2 linked regions of the Arabidopsis thaliana genome follow. The protein of the gene in region 2 purifies or fractionates together with the protein of the main gene of each other region. This does not show direct contact. Each region holds a gene or a part of one and is shown on either strand. Other genes may lie near its edges. The genes, in order: TIC110 and OEP80.

Region 1 (8,270 bases), on a different chromosome or scaffold from region 2:
TAACTCTCTCCTATTTTCTTATTAATTTTCACTTCTTTTTTTTCTTTTTTTGTAATCTTGGAAATAATTTCTAAAAACTATGTTTCATCGATTCATATCATCATCTCTATGAATCAATTGATTGGATCATATGGCTTCTATTTTTGTCTTTAAAAGACGTGCTTTTGTATAATTAGAAATTTCGACAAAAACATACTATAACGAGATCAGATCTAGTATACATGTTGATTGTTGAGTATTGTTCTAGTTGTGTGCAGTCATGTGAGACCACCATAGAATTAACAATTAACTTTCACTTACGGTGTTACGGTCAAATCATTTCATTAAAAAAAAAGTTCTCAATGATTGAATTAACTGTTATTCTATTTTTTAGGTTCGTTATGCGGGAACACCCGTCACGTGACACCACATGAGCACTTCAAAGCTGCGCTCTAAATTGTATAAGGGATACACTTCTCGTTTGCAGATTTTCAAATTAATCATATCAAGTTTATGGTTCTGATACAAAATTTTCACAGACTTTGGTCAAATTTCAAATTCAAAATCATTTTTCCACCCTCGGCCGTAACACAATACATAATAACTCAAGTGATTTCTCCAAAGATTTAAAAGACGAAATTGCCCTCTTCTGCAGCAGAAGATAATGCTCCATCTTCCATTTCACGGAGGGCAGTTGCAGTTGAATCATCTATTCCCAGCAGATATTGTAGCCTCAAAACTTTTTCCGGTGCGGGTTTGGGATCACTCTTTGAATAAATAGCATATAGATCAGATAATTCCTCTGAGACCTCCCATGACATTGGCTCAGCCGGCACAGCTTTGTCACATGCAAGCAAATCATTCAGCGACAAGACCTGTAAAACCAAAAAAAAAAAGCATACATACATACACAATTTAGACCCAGAAGCTGAAATATCCATGTTTTCTGTCACGATAAGAGAGGGAAAAGATGATTTGCATACCACTCCTTTAGAGTTTCTCTGCCTGAGTAATGCCACGGCTTGGACCAGCGAATTCGATAATCTACTCTGAGCGAGATCATGGACAACTCTTTTGGCTTTTTCCACATCAATACTGAGATCGGATGGGATTGTCTGGTAGACTTCGGTTTCATCGAATTCACCAGTTCCTGATGAGAAGATGTCACTCACTGTCTTCTTGAATAATTTCTCTCTCAGACTCACAGCGATCATGCTGTCCAGGCTGACATTTGCCTCCTTGAGCTCCCGTATCTGCTTTATGTTCAGTCTTCCTTGGTTAACAGCGGTCTCTATCGCGTTTGCCATTTTTGTGGTGGTTATATTCTTGATAACCTTCTCGGCTTGTGGCTGAGGCAAACCAACTTGTTTTTGCAACTCGTCTAGCTGCTCTACTCTAGCCTTTGTCAATTGCCCATCAGCTAAAATCACTTCAGCTTGTTGCCTAAAAGCCTGCTCGGCTAAACCTACGTGAATGTTGACTATTTCTTTCGAACTCAATCCGAGAATCCCACCAAGCTGATTTAGAAGCAAGTACTCTGAATCGTCTCTCTTTGTTGTGATCTGGGCGCCAAAAGGGATTCTTGTTACCTCTCCAGTTACACAGTAGAGCAAGTATGTTTTGTAGAGATCTATTCTGTCCCTGTCGGGAAGGTCATCTTTGAGAGTTATCTCAGTCTGGCCAGGCTTTCCCATTTTCTCAGCGAGTTCCTTGTCGGGTCTTGTCTTTCTGAGCGATTCAAGGGATCCCCATTCTTCATCTTCATCATCTTCTTCTTTCTCTTGAACAGGGTCCTCCTCAGGTGCCTTATCAGAAGATTCTCCCTTGATATCAGCCACCATTTCAGTCACAACCAACGTGTTGAAAGCAATCATCTTCTTGAGCTCCTTTGCTGAATCAGTACGGTTCTCGGCTGCTCTTGCTCGTCTGATATAGTTTGTGAAAACCCTACGGACCTGCATCAATGAAGGGATTTGATTTTCATGTCTTGCTATGAGAAGTCAGAAAATTTTAACAAATCCTAATACCAAGCATGGAGAAAGTAAATAGTGTGATACTCACAGCTTTGCTAGCAATAGACATGGCAGTCTCTCTGGATAACCGAAGACCATGTGCAGCCTTTCTAACTGATTTGCGAGTTTCAGCATCATAACCATCCACTCCAGAAGAAATGGCATCCCTGACAACCTGGAAAGATTAAACAAAAAGGTAATTAGAGGTAAAACCTTTTGGTAACAAAATGCGAAGGCAGAGAGGGAAGCAGAGGGAAATTGCAGTGCCAAGACCCAAGACCATGAAAAAACCCTTGATAAAGGGAAAAGGGAGGTGATAACTGGATTACCTTTTCAAATATGGTTCCACAGATTTCTGCATGAGCTGTATCAACAGTTTGCTGGGGAATACACAACATAACTCTTAACCTTAATAAAGCAGCAACATTGTCATCGCTCAGCTCTCCATCAGTAACACACTGTTGAAGCTTCTGCCGATAGATTTCTGAGGAAGAGAAGGTGCTTGTCAGATGATTGGGAAAAAAAGACCAAATAGATACTCAAACTGTAAAATAACAGCATGTAACCCACTGAAACACCAGACTTGTTAGAAGTCTGTTAAGAACCAAATCTACAACACTAAAAGCTAGCTTAAAAGGATAAGGAACCCGCAAGTTTACAAGCCATCAACTAAATTGATACCCATGGACACATCTTACATTTGGGCGATTATGTGGCAATTCCAACTGTATACCTCATGCATAACATAAAAACATAAGATTTCATTGTGAACAGAAGGTTCGGCTTATACCTTCATGGATTGCGCCTGCCTTCTGTGCATCAAAGTGCAGCTCTTCGCAGAGCTTTTGAAGGTATTTTGCTTTACTGTCTTGTGCTTCAAGGTCACCACTAGAAACAGCGTTAGCAAGTCTTTTACGGTAAGACTTGGACGTAACATCAACACTAATAGCTTCAGCCTCTCGTTTTCCCAGACCGAGTATGTTTCTAAGTTGGCTCATTGCCACGAGCTACCATACAGTAGAAAGACAATTAGAAATGGAAAAAAACATGCGACTGGGATAGAGGACACAGCATCTGAAAACACTTACTCTCAAAAAAACTTGCAACTAAGCTTTAGTACATAATATCTTATACAAAACTGAGTATACCTTATTTTCTTCTAAGCGCCCACCAGATAAAGCATCTGTAACATATGCTCTATAAAGGAGCTTTAAATCATCCATTCTCCTCTCAAAATCAGACTCATCACCTAAGCCACATAGATCCAAGGTTGAGAGCCAATAATTTTTCTTCAGAAAAGAGAAGGTCAAAAGCATCTTCACCTATCAAAGAAATAGGGCCAACCCCGCGTGCAAATTGATCTGCCTCTGAATGACTTTTCAAGGAAACTAGCAGGTTGTTAAACTCCAGTACTTTTTCAAGCTCTTCCACGACAGATGCCAAACTCTTCCTGGAAAAAATCAGGTCGTTAAAATGACATGCATTGTAAACTACTATAAACTAGACATACTAGATGATCCAATTTGTTTCCACTATTAATTATCACAAGATACAAAAACGCCTATAAAATTAAAATCTCATGACTTTTTTTTAAATACTTATACTATAAGACAATTCACAAAAGCAAAAGAGATCATATGACCAATCAGTTTTTGCAATAACCAAAACTCAAAACTAAAGCCAAAACTTCAATCTCTTTTTTCAACCCGACCAAACTCAATGTTCAAGCAAAGGAATACATATACCCAGCTAAAGTCATAACTCATTGGTATAAGAAATAAAAAAGTTAAATGTGTAACCAAACTGTTCACATGGATAATGATTATTCTATACGATTTTTCTATGCATGATTCTGTAAGCAATATGTTAAAATGATTTACGCTGCTCGTGTGCGGGATTTGAGTATGCTGAGTGCCGATGAAATGTTCTCTACGACTACTTTTCTCGTATGCTCTCTAAACAGGTCTTCAGCAAGCTATGAGGGAGAAGAAACTGTCAGAAGAAGTACAACCAGAGATAGCAGGAAGTCAATGCCACAAAGAAATAGAGTACCTCATCAGAGAGCTTGAATGATAGTTGTGATTTTCTAAGGTCCACAAGGTTTTCTACGTTAATATCTGCAAGAACATGTTTAGAAACATAACCATGTAAGTTTCCATGCATTAAGCTGACGAAAAAGCTAAGTCATATCTTTTTTTGGTTGTCAAAAAGCCATATCTATTATCAATGTTAAATGAGAAGGGACCATTACAGTCGCATGCGAAGTAACAATTAAGGTTGGTATTCAGACAACTTGCTGATAAACGAATATTACAAAACCCAATGGACAAAGAAGTGCCACAATAATCAATATAACCAAGTCAAGCAAACTCAAACCCGTTCTACAAATGTAACATTACTTCCCATCTCAAAATGTAAAACATGAACAACATTACCTCTACCAACTAATTTTAACCGTTCGGCATACAGCTGCTTTGCATTTTCACGAATAGCAATCTCAACCTAGAAATGAGGTCAAGACATTAGCACAGAACTTCAGATTACCAAGAAGGAGTGAGTTGCCAAAATGAAACTTCCATAAAACAACTATTGCGCAAAATCAGAAGTATGAAAAAAATTGGAAATGCCTACCTGAGCATCTGTGACCTTCAATACTCGCTTCCAAGGTAGAAGGAAGGATGAAGCATCTCCAAACACAAGAGCTGAAACATATACAAGCCTCATAAATGCCTGCACTGGAAGCATACAACTTGTGATCACGCTTGTGCTCTCTTTCGAACAATCCTACAATAAACTTAACAAATACTAGGGACTGGCGACTCACCCGACGCTGTTCTGCATCACCTTCACGCTCCCCAGTCTCAAGCCTTTGCCTAAAAATCCTGCGACCAATCTAAACAAAACCAAGGAATTGGTGATTCAGCAATCAAGATCCTTCTGCATCAACTACAAAAAGGCTAACGGCTAATTCAAATGAAGATTAAGAATCTAGAAAGCACCTCCATGTGCATGGCAGCTGCATCAGGTTCGTCTATCCCTAAAGCATTTTTGAACTTGACTATCTTCGCCACTTCATCCCCTTTAAGAGACTGTCCTTCAGTTGGAAGCACGGAAGTTACATACCTAAATCAAGATTAAGATGCAAAGATTACTAATGAATTCCCCACACTAAGAGAAAAGATGAACACAGTATCCTTTGTTGACTCACCGGCAATAAATATCACAAATCTCAGCCTGGAATGCTTCGTCTCCTTTGTTGACACCGTACCTGCAACATATAAGAAGGATCGTTTAAGCAAACTTTTGTTTATAAATCCCAGACACAAATTGACAATTAAATGAAGCACTCACCTATCAGCGATCTTTTCTACATCATCTTTCGTCACAGAGGCAGGATCTTCGAATTCGGCAACATAATTATGCAAACTGATAGCAGCTACCTCCGGTACAGCAGAGTTCAACGCATATACGACAGCTCCACCGGCGGCTCCAGCAACAGCAGCCCCACCAAAGGCAATATTCCTGGAGCCGGCTAAACGGAGCCCAAGGCCGTAACCAGTAGCTAAAGACGCCGCTAATACAACAGCTGAAGTCGCTAGCCTCACCGGCGGTGTCATTTTCTCAACAATCGGTTGCAATCCAGTGAGCTCCTTCTTATTCCCATGGATACCGGGATTCTTCGCCTGCGTAGATACTGATAGTTGGTCGGAGGAAGCAGCTGAGCTACGAGGGAACGAAACTCGATAACGACGGCGAGATAGACACTCAGACTTGGAGAAACGGTGAGGTAAAGTAGGTAGGAAGTGAGAAAGAAGAGGAGACCGAGGAGAAGGTGAAATTGGAGCGTTAATGGCGGTGACGAGTGAGGGATTCATGGTTCCCTCTACTGAGAAAGATCCGAGCAGTCGTTGAAAAAAAGAAGAATCGTAGGGTTTAACGAAAAACAGTAGACAACGGAAGAAGATAGAGATGCGAACGAAGAAAAGGGGAAAGAGATAGGGCCTAACAAAACATCAAAATCCCCTTTCGAACGTCCAGACGTTTTTTAATAATATTATAAAACTACGTGTTGTTTTACTCTTCGGTAACGGTAAGATGTTTACATAAAAAAACAAATTAGACGCCTTGTGTAAATTGGAAACGCCACGATTTCTTCTCTCTTCTTGGCTCTTAGGGCTCGCTAAATTTTCTCAGGGCTGTGACCATCGACCATCGTCGTCTTCGCGGAGCTCAGTTGAAAGATGTTAACGGCTGATATACCACCAAATCAGTCAATCTACATAAAACATATCAATGAGAAGATCAAGAAAGAAGGTAATGCTTACGAAATTCATATAATTGCATCGGTGATTTTCTAAGAGTTTTTGCAATGCTTAAGTAGCTTGGTAATGCTTGTGTGAGCTTCTCTTGAATGAGTTGTCTGAGTTTAAAGTTGCTTAATTTGATGTTTACGAAGGTTAGATTAGATGCATTTAGAGTTATCTTTCTAAGTATTAGGGATTTAGAATTTCTGTCTAATCTTAATAGACCTGAACTAGAGATACTCTAACAAAGGTGCTTTATTTAAGTAATTAAGTAGGAAAGGCGATTGCTTTTGCCATGAAATTTGTTTAGATTGTTTGATTGAAGTCAATGACCTTAAGTTCTTTAGCTGCTGCTTTTGTTTGTCTAAGAGTAATGCTGTTCAAGCAGATCATTGTTTAATGTTTCCACTTGTTTTTTTCAGAGCTGAAGAGGTCTCTTTACTGTTTGTTCTCTCAGTTTGGAAGATTACTTGATGTGGTTGCGTTAAAGACTCCTAAGCTCCGGGGACAAGCATGGGTTGTTTTTACTGAAGTCACCGCTGCTAGCAACGCTGTCCGTCAGATGCAGAACTTTCCTTTCTATGATAAGCCTATGGTACCTTTTTCCTCTCTTATGTTCCAGGTTTATCTATCCCGCTACCGAAAAATGATTTTATCTTGTTATGTGAGACTATAAGCTTAGAAAGTTGCAGAGATTTACTTGGAGGGAAAATTGAGTTTGCTTGCTGATACTTGTTGTTATATAAAATTGAAGGAAGTACAACGACATTAGATGTTGAGGGTATATCATTACACAAGTGATTACTAAGTAAAAGACTAGAAAAAGCTAAATGCAATATTATTATTCAAATCGTGATGTGTGATCTCTGTGGGTGCAGCGGATACAATATGCAAAATCAAAGTCAGATTATGTTACTAAAGCCGAAGGGTCTTTTGTTCCAAAAGAAAAGAAGATGAAGCAAGAAGAGAAAGGTTTAAACTTTCGTTTCCATCACAAGTTCAGATCTTTTCAGCTCATTTCATCTGTGTTTTACTTCGCATCTGATGTTTAACAAAACTGCACATCACTTTCAGTTGAAAGGAAGCGACATGCTGAAGAAACTCAACAACCAAGCATGCCTAATGGCGCAACTACTCAGAACGGAATGCCTGTGGCAATTTCTCTTTCTCGCATCATTCCAACAATACAATATTATCTTCTGACAGACGTCATTATCGCAACTTAGTCTGTAAATCCTTGTTTCCTAATACCCGTCTCTGTAATTTCACAGCCTCCTTTCCAGCCGAGTGGGCAAGACACGATGCCACCAAACAACATACTCTTCATTCATAATCTTCCCATTGAGACGAATAGTATGATGCTTCAGCTGCTCTTTGAGCAATACCCAGGATTCAAAGAGATAAGAATGATCGAAGCAAAACCCGGAATTGCGTTTGTGGAGTATGAAGACGATGTTCAGTCTTCCATGGCCATGCAGGCTCTTCAGGGTTTCAAGATCACTCCGCAGAATCCAATGGTCGTCTCTTTTGCCAAGAAGTGAAAACCAGAGTTTTGTTATGCGGATGAATGGTAATGATATACTAATTAGTAGCTGTTTAAAAGCAAACTGTCTTATTTTATTTGGTTCGTTTCCGATTAGTGGTGTGAATGACCCCGAAGCTTTAGACCAGAATGTAATGAGATCGAAGAATTGAGAGTGATTTGGTTGGAGAAAATCTCATTTTAAATGCCTTATTATTATTAGGACTTTGGGGGAACTAAAACCACGAATTTAGAAATGAGAAGATTATGGGGTTACTGACATCAACCAGCCAAAAAATAGTCGCATTCGATAAATAGAGGCAACAAATATGCTTCATCTCTCTCTCTCTTTTTCTCTCACTTCCCTTTTTGTCTCTGACCTTTAAACAAAACTTAGATACCATTCTAGATCTGATGATAGCAAGATAATCAACAATTCCCCAAAATAAAAAC
Region 2 (7,364 bases):
GATTCCATATCCGCCGCTCATGTCGATTTCGTCAGTATCAGATTCTGAATCCTCACCACCTTCGTCTCCTCTGACCTCAAAATCAGGTAATCTGGAGAAAATGATCTGAATCAGCTCATGCATTGTGTATCTTCCATTTCGTTGCAGCAAATCTCCTCTACCGGTAGATTGTTGCACTACTTGGAAACATGTATTGACTATTGTGCAAACCGCTTGATCTTCTAATAACTCCTGTTTTAATACATAACTTATTATTACTGTCTTAAAAGAGGACAAAATAAACATTTGTAGTAAAAAGATTATAGTTAATGAACGTACAGAGGATGGATGTTTCATGATTCCGGTTAAAACTTGAAGAATCCTCATCATTACAGCATCTTCAGACACCAAATCTGTTTTCTCCAAACGACAACTAGTAATCCCGGAGACAATAGAATTCATAGCATCTTTTGCACCAGGTGTTTTCTCATCGAAGATCTCGATTTTAAGGATCTTTAAGATGGAGGAAAGAGCGACAGCTGTGGCGCTAGCCGGAATCTCATCGCTTTGAATAACTTCGAGGAAAGGAGAAAGATAAACCGAAGGATCTATGGTGCGCCAATCTTGTTGAGGATTGAAAATAAGAGCTCTAAGAGATTTGAGAGATTGTTGGACTGATGAATCACAGTGGTCTGTTTCTTGGGGAGAAAGGTAACTTTCTGAAAGGGGTCTACGAATGACGGCAAGGACTGCACCAACCTCCGTGTTAAGCATGCATGATATCCCTAGCTCTTTCCGCTTTGCTCTTACGGCGATACGATCCATTTCTCACCTTATCACACTCTTCTTGCCGATAAAGAAGAAAAATCATTCAGCAACTGTTTTTTTTGTTGTTCTTCGTTTTTATTCTTTATGTGTACGGTGTTGCCTTGCCTTGGTTTGATCCTATATTTAGTATATAAGTTTTAGTGGCTGAGACTCAGTGATGGGTGAGTTTCAACCATTTGTCATCACACATCTAGGAAAACTCCATCATCAGCTACCGTCAATTTCTTTAAGGCTTAAGATAGAAAACTAATGTACGTTCTGCAAAAATTCAGATTTAAGGATACATTATTTGGATCAAACGTATGTGTTCAAGGTTTTTTTTTCTTCTTCTTTTAAAGTAGAAGCAAACTCTACGATGATTGGAGTGGAAACCATTTTTGTAGGATTAGGCCTCTTCATACTGATCTGAGTCAGACTTTGCATAGCTGAAGTTTTTTTCCTCTACTATTCAATTAACCAGTAGAGAAAAACTGACGCTTAAGAGGTTAATGGAGCTTAAATTTTACCAAATTCAGACCATAACTCTATTTATGTACTGGTCCTAGTGTTTCCAAGAGAATATATCTCTCAGCTTAAATTTTACTAAAATTCAGACCATAACTTATTTATGTACTGGTCCTAATAAGATGAATGTTTTAAGGGTTTATGGCTTGCTTAAGAAGAGCCAAAACTCTCTATAATTAACAAGTCTAAAATTGACAAAATTAATATAATTGGTTTTGTTACATGTTTGTGACCATAACTACTAAAAAAATTCACAGAAAAACTATTCAATAATCCTTGTTTGTTCATGTGTGTGATCTATTAATCAATAAAATCAAGAAAATGGATAGGAGAAATCAACTAACGTTTTTTTCTCAAAAATCTATTTATTTATTTTGATTAACATGTTTTGAACGTTAGTTAACTAATTTACCCTACAAAAAACTAATTTACCGTCAAATAAATGAGAAATCCCCTTAATGAGAAATTGATTATTTTCCAAAATATTTATTTGACGCAATTTTATTTTCATTTTTGAAAATCCAGTAATTTTACAAAACCTAATAATATACTCAAAGGAATGTTTACATAAAACATTCAAAAAAATAATTTGTTTTTTGTTTGTTCGTAAATGGGCTTTAACATCACCTCCTTTTCACTCTATCATCTTCTACTCCGAGTCTCCGAATCAAAAAAAACCCTAGCTCTTATTTTTTGTTCTTAGATTTTATCTCTTAAGCTCTTCTTCTTCCTTGACATTTCCTCAATTTCACTCCCGAGTACGATTAACAATGCATTGTCACAACGATGATGTTCGCTTCTCTTCATCTTCTATCAGAATCCATTCTCCATCTCCCAAAGAACAACACTCTTTACTCACCAATCTCCAATCCTGCTCTAAAACCTTCGTCTCTCACCTCTCAAATACTCGTAACTCACTAAACCAAATGCTCCAGTCGCTAAAGAATCGCCACACTCCTCCTCCACGTTCGGTTCGTCGTCCCAATTTACCGACTCAGATGCTCAATTCAGTAACCCAGCTTATGATTGGGAAGTCTTCTCCAATTTCATTGTCTCTTATCCAATCCACCCAATTCAATTGGTCTGAATCAAGAGATGAGAACGTTGAGACAATCCGTGGACTAAGCTCGCCTCTGCTCTGTTGTGCCTCTTTGTCTCTAACTAGACCTAACGAGTCGACTCAGTCAGTGGAAGGGAAGGATACAGTACAGCAGCAGAAGGGTCACTCGGTGAGTCGAAATGCGGAGGAACGAGTTCTGATTAGTGAGGTTTTAGTAAGAACGAAAGATGGTGAGGAACTTGAGAGGAAGGATTTGGAAATGGAGGCATTGGCTGCTTTGAAAGCTTGTAGAGCTAATTCAGCGTTGACTATTCGTGAGGTACAGGAGGATGTACATAGGATTATAGAAAGTGGGTACTTTTGCTCTTGTACTCCTGTTGCTGTTGATACACGAGACGGGATTCGGTTGATGTTTCAGGTAATATTTTGATTGTTACTCTTTTTGTTGGAGGAGAAAGGTCTCGTTTTTATGTTTCTGGGATGCAAATAATTCTCATTTTCTTGCCATAAGGTAGAACCAAACCAAGAATTTCGTGGGTTAGTCTGTGAAAATGCAAATGTTCTTCCTTCCAAGTTCATACATGAAGCTTTCCGAGATGGGTTTGGTACGTATCCTCCAATTTAGCTTGTTTTTTTTTCTTCTGTACTGTACTAGACTTATCTGTCAATTCATTGATTTACGTTGGGAGTAAAATGGATTAATGATATTGGAACCTGACAAATATTTCGAGTACTAATGATGAAGCTAAGAATTTTCTAACACATGGTGTAAAATGTGTTAGCCTTGAATGAAGAAGATAGATTAGAGGTAGGTAGTATTCTCAAAATGTATCCATGCTCCAAAACAGAGCATAATTTGAAGTTGCATTTAGTTTACACATATTAATGTATTGAGGCTAGTTAGGTGGATTCCTTCTGTTCGGTGTGTGTTTGATTGGAGAGGGTAATGGTTAGTAAATGTTGGTGTCAAGCTGTGTAGGGAAAGTGATTAATATTAAGAGACTGGAAGAAGCTATTACATCCATCAATGGATGGTACATGGAGCGTGGTCTTTTCGGAATTGTAAGTGCTCTTTTTACACCATAATTACTTTTTCAAAAAAAAAAATCATCCTGGATTCAGTCTTATACTTTGTGGTTAGAATCATCATTCTGTTGTCTGCCATTGTAGGTTTCAGATATTGATACGCTTTCTGGAGGTATAGTAAGGCTTCAGGTTGCTGAAGCAGAGGTTAACAACATATCCATCCGATTCCTTGATCGTAAGACGTAAGCTGGTGCCAATCCCTCCCTTATGAATGTAGTTTATATTGGTTTAAATTGTAGGCAATTCTGGATGGCACTGGTAGCTTCCTTTTATTTCAACTATTAGATTACGATTTCATTGATAATGGTGCCTTCTATATTTAGTGGGGAACCAACTAAAGGGAAGACTAGCCCTGAGACAATACTACGGCAACTTACAACAAAGAAGGGACAGGTATTTTTTGGGCATTTCTCAGCTTAGATGTAAAGATAAGTCGCTGACTAAAACATCATAAACTATCTGAGCTGTATTTTTATGCTAAATAACACTTCTGAGTGCATCATCTGTGTATGAAATCCTTTGGAGATCTTATTTTTAATTAAGGTTAATCACTCTTTATGGTATCATGTATGTTTCTTCGTAAAATTTGGCCTTAAAGTCTTTATGCATGAGCGTCTAAGTAGGGCCTCTACATACACATCTTGTCTAATCTGGCTTTTGGTCAATTTAGGTCTACAGCATGCTTCAAGGGAAGAGGGATGTAGACACTGTGCTAGCCATGGGAATCATGGAAGATGTTAGTATTATTCCTCAACCTGCAGGAGGTGTGTAAATATATTTCTTTCTTTTCAGCTAATACTTTTAATTTTCATCTTGTGCTTAAGGTGCAGTAGTATGAGTGAAGAAAGTATTTTCCTTGCTTATCCTTAGGCACAGTAACAAAAGGTTTTGACAGTGTCTGATTCTGAAACTTTCTTCTTTTCCTTGTTTTTTATTCCTGTTAGATAGTGGGAAGGTTGATTTGATCATGAACTGTGTCGAGCGTCCCAGTGGAGGCTTCTCTGCTGGTGGTGGGATATCTAGTGGGTAAGTTTTAGTTTGTTTGCTACTTACAGCGATTCAATTTTTTTCTTTTGTAGCTTGATGACAACTTTTGTCCAATTCTTTTGTAGGATCACAAGTGGCCCCCTATCAGGATTAATTGGAAGGTAAAAGTAATGTATATTTTATTTGTAATGATTTTTTTTTTATTTCTGGCCTAGGCTGTGTGTATTACATTACTGATGTAGTTGAAGTAATCATTTTATGCAGCTTCGCTTATTCCCACCGCAATCTGTTTGGAAGAAACCAGAAGCTTAATGTTTCCTTAGAGAGGGGTCAAATTGACTCTATATTTCGTATAAACTACACTGATCCATGGATTGAAGGAGATGACAAGAGGACGTCCAGATCTATTATGGTTCAGGTAACACCTTTACTGGTTATCTCAATGAGATTGCTGAGATGACTAATAAACTAATGAACTTCATCTTGAGTTAGAATTCAAGAACACCGGGGAATCTTGTTCACGGCAATCAACCAGACAATAGTAGTCTCACAATTGGTCGGGTTACAGCAGGTGTTGAATACAGTCGTCCATTCAGGCCAAAGTGGAATGGTACTGCTGGACTTATATTTCAGGTCTCTACTGTTCCCAATATTTTCTAAGTTTCTGTACCAATCCAGAGTAATATTGGTGTTAAAGCAATTAAAATATATGTTCTTGTCGTTTCTGACTAGATCCAAACTGGTAAATTTTTTACTTTTTGACCAATATATACGTTACCCTTAATTTCGTTTTGAATTTCATGTTTCAGCATGCTGGTGCTCGTGATGAACAAGGAAACCCTATCATTAAGGACTTCTACAGTAGCCCTCTAACTGCAAGGTATATATATGTCCCAATTCCCAAAGAATGATTTGTCTTTGGTTCTGCTCACTGTTTTCACCAATGCTGTATTTGGCCATATGAATTTGATAGATGCCATTATTAATGTTTTCTCATGCAGTGGTAAGCCCCATGATGAGACCATGCTAGCAAAACTTGAAAGCATTTATACTGGCTCAGGTGACCAAGGATCAACGATGGTCAGTCTGATACCTCTGTTGGTACATCTTCCCCTTCTTTTTTCAGTGCCTAATTCTATCTGTATTTTTATACCAGTTTGCGTTTAACATGGAACAAGGGCTTCCTGTTTTGCCCGAATGGTTATGTTTCAATCGAGTGACTGGACGTGCCAGGAAAGGCATACACATTGGACCAGCTCGTTTCCTTTTTAGGTATGCTAACTTCCTTTGAGGCATATAATTTTCTTGAGGTCTCTATTTACCTTTTGGGATTCGAATCATCATTTCTAAAGTTTTATATAGTGTATCTTACCTTGTTCATGTTTATAGTCTGTCTGGTGGACATGTGGTGGGAAAATTTTCACCTCATGAAGCATTCGTCATCGGTGGAACAAACAGCGTAAGAGGTTACGAAGAGGGCGCTGTAGGATCTGGTCGGTCATATGTAGTTGGTTCAGGGGAGCTGTCTTTCCCAGTGGTGGGTTTTTCTTTGAACATTCCTAAGATCTCATTTCACAATGGTGTAAAAATCATGACTCTCATTCTTACCCTATTGTGCAGAGAGGACCGGTCGAAGGCGTCATTTTTACAGATTATGGCACTGATATGGGATCAGGATCCACCGTCCCAGGTACAGACTAGGCTTTCGTTTTTTTTTTCTCCTTCTGAGCCTTTCCATATATGCTTGTAATAGCTTTAGAATCTCAGGGAACCTTCATCTTTGTTATTTTCTGCCCTTTAGGTGATCCTGCGGGGGCAAGACTGAAGCCCGGAAGCGGTTATGGATATGGTTTAGGGGTGCGTGTTGATTCCCCGTTGGGGCCGCTACGCCTTGAATATGCCTTCAACGATCAACATGCGGGAAGGTTTCACTTTGGGGTTGGTCTGCGGAACTAAATTTTCCTGTTTCTTTTTTAGATTCGATAAGTGTTTTGTCGGCCTTTGTCGCACATTCATCTAGATGATGCTTGTCTATTTTGATAATTTATATCATCTTATGTAACTCACTGTTTTGTGAGTGGTTTGTGCATGGAGAGAGATGTCGCGTATGAATGCTTTTCATGTAGATGATTTTCATTTTACCAAACTCCCAGTTAAAATTATTAATAGAACCAAGATTAGGATTTTTATTCTTCATCCTAGTATGAACCTGATTTGTCTCCTTAGGATGTCACATGATCGTGAGCAAACTCTTCTCGATGCAATTGCAAAGCTTGAAGAAATGTCCGATAGAGTGATAATAACTCAACATATGAAAACAAGTCTTTTAGTGCGTAGTGTACAGGGACATCAAACTCCTATCGTGCTAGTAAAGATTTATCCAAGTAATTTCCGGACATACACCAACGTAGTTCGACGAGGATGTAATAATCCCCTAAGGTCTATCTTTTCATGTGGTATTTTACAGGGATGAAATAAATTTACATATAATATCGGTCACCTGAGAATCATATTCAGGTCCTTCCATCTGGAAATGACTAACGCCTTCAATGAGGTGTGTTTCAGTGCGTCCGACTGCAGATTTCAGCTTCTTCTTTAGCTGGCTAACGCTAGTGAACCCGTCTTGTGTTCCCATTACGAAGAGTTTGGGTTTAGGGGATGAGAGAATGGCCTTGTGGTGTCGCCCAAAGAGAATCGAGGCCATTAGGCCAAATGGGTATCCCAAACTCACATATCCCACCACTTGCTCTACTTGCTCCACCGCTGATCCTGCGATTGGTGCACCTGCCAAAGAGTCAAAACTTCAATTATTTTTCCTTTAACCAATATAAAGAAGTTGGCATGAGATATCAAATTTGTCTCAGAATATTCATTTGAAAAGTAATGTGATCACTTCATCCATTAAACACGTCATATCAGA

Evidence for each region.
Region 1: the proteins of OEP80 (region 2) and TIC110 purify together in Arabidopsis thaliana (affinity purification with western blotting; 2 studies listed by BioGRID, with this or other methods). This does not show direct contact.

What each region holds. Positions count from the first base shown.
Region 1 is NC_003070.9:2,129,698-2,137,967, forward strand, and holds TIC110 (translocon at the inner envelope membrane of chloroplasts 110), read right to left. Parts: upstream 6,007-8,270; 5' UTR 5,867-6,006; coding exon 5,343-5,866; intron 5,260-5,342; coding exon 5,200-5,259; intron 5,115-5,199; coding exon 4,991-5,114; intron 4,885-4,990; coding exon 4,816-4,884; intron 4,722-4,815; coding exon 4,623-4,721; intron 4,494-4,622; coding exon 4,427-4,493; intron 4,109-4,426; coding exon 4,044-4,108; intron 3,967-4,043; coding exon 3,872-3,966; intron 3,442-3,871; coding exon 3,314-3,441; intron 3,241-3,313; coding exon 3,140-3,240; intron 2,999-3,139; coding exon 2,782-2,998; intron 2,476-2,781; coding exon 2,321-2,475; intron 2,167-2,320; coding exon 2,041-2,166; intron 1,935-2,040; coding exon 963-1,934; intron 855-962; coding exon 606-854; 3' UTR 356-605; downstream 1-355. Other genes in the region: AT1G06960 (RNA-binding (RRM/RBD/RNP motifs) family protein), read left to right, coding at 6,233-6,305, 6,718-6,890, 7,174-7,267, 7,370-7,449, 7,567-7,836. UniProt on the Arabidopsis thaliana protein: Involved in protein precursor import into chloroplasts. Forms a voltage-dependent cation-selective channel at the inner envelope of chloroplasts, which specifically responds to a transit peptide.
Region 2 is NC_003076.8:6,621,242-6,628,605, forward strand, and holds OEP80 (outer envelope protein of 80 kDa), read left to right. Parts: upstream 1-1,955; 5' UTR 1,956-2,081; coding exon 2,082-2,789; intron 2,790-2,882; coding exon 2,883-2,976; intron 2,977-3,350; coding exon 3,351-3,433; intron 3,434-3,541; coding exon 3,542-3,639; intron 3,640-3,780; coding exon 3,781-3,850; intron 3,851-4,127; coding exon 4,128-4,221; intron 4,222-4,401; coding exon 4,402-4,483; intron 4,484-4,569; coding exon 4,570-4,605; intron 4,606-4,708; coding exon 4,709-4,862; intron 4,863-4,936; coding exon 4,937-5,077; intron 5,078-5,253; coding exon 5,254-5,324; intron 5,325-5,445; coding exon 5,446-5,524; intron 5,525-5,600; coding exon 5,601-5,716; intron 5,717-5,833; coding exon 5,834-5,981; intron 5,982-6,064; coding exon 6,065-6,134; intron 6,135-6,245; coding exon 6,246-6,400; 3' UTR 6,401-6,653; downstream 6,654-7,364. Other genes in the region: GNL2 (GNOM-like 2), read right to left, coding at 1-231, 319-804; AT5G19630 (alpha/beta-Hydrolases superfamily protein), read right to left, coding at 6,906-7,228. UniProt on the Arabidopsis thaliana protein: Plays an essential role during early stages of plastid development.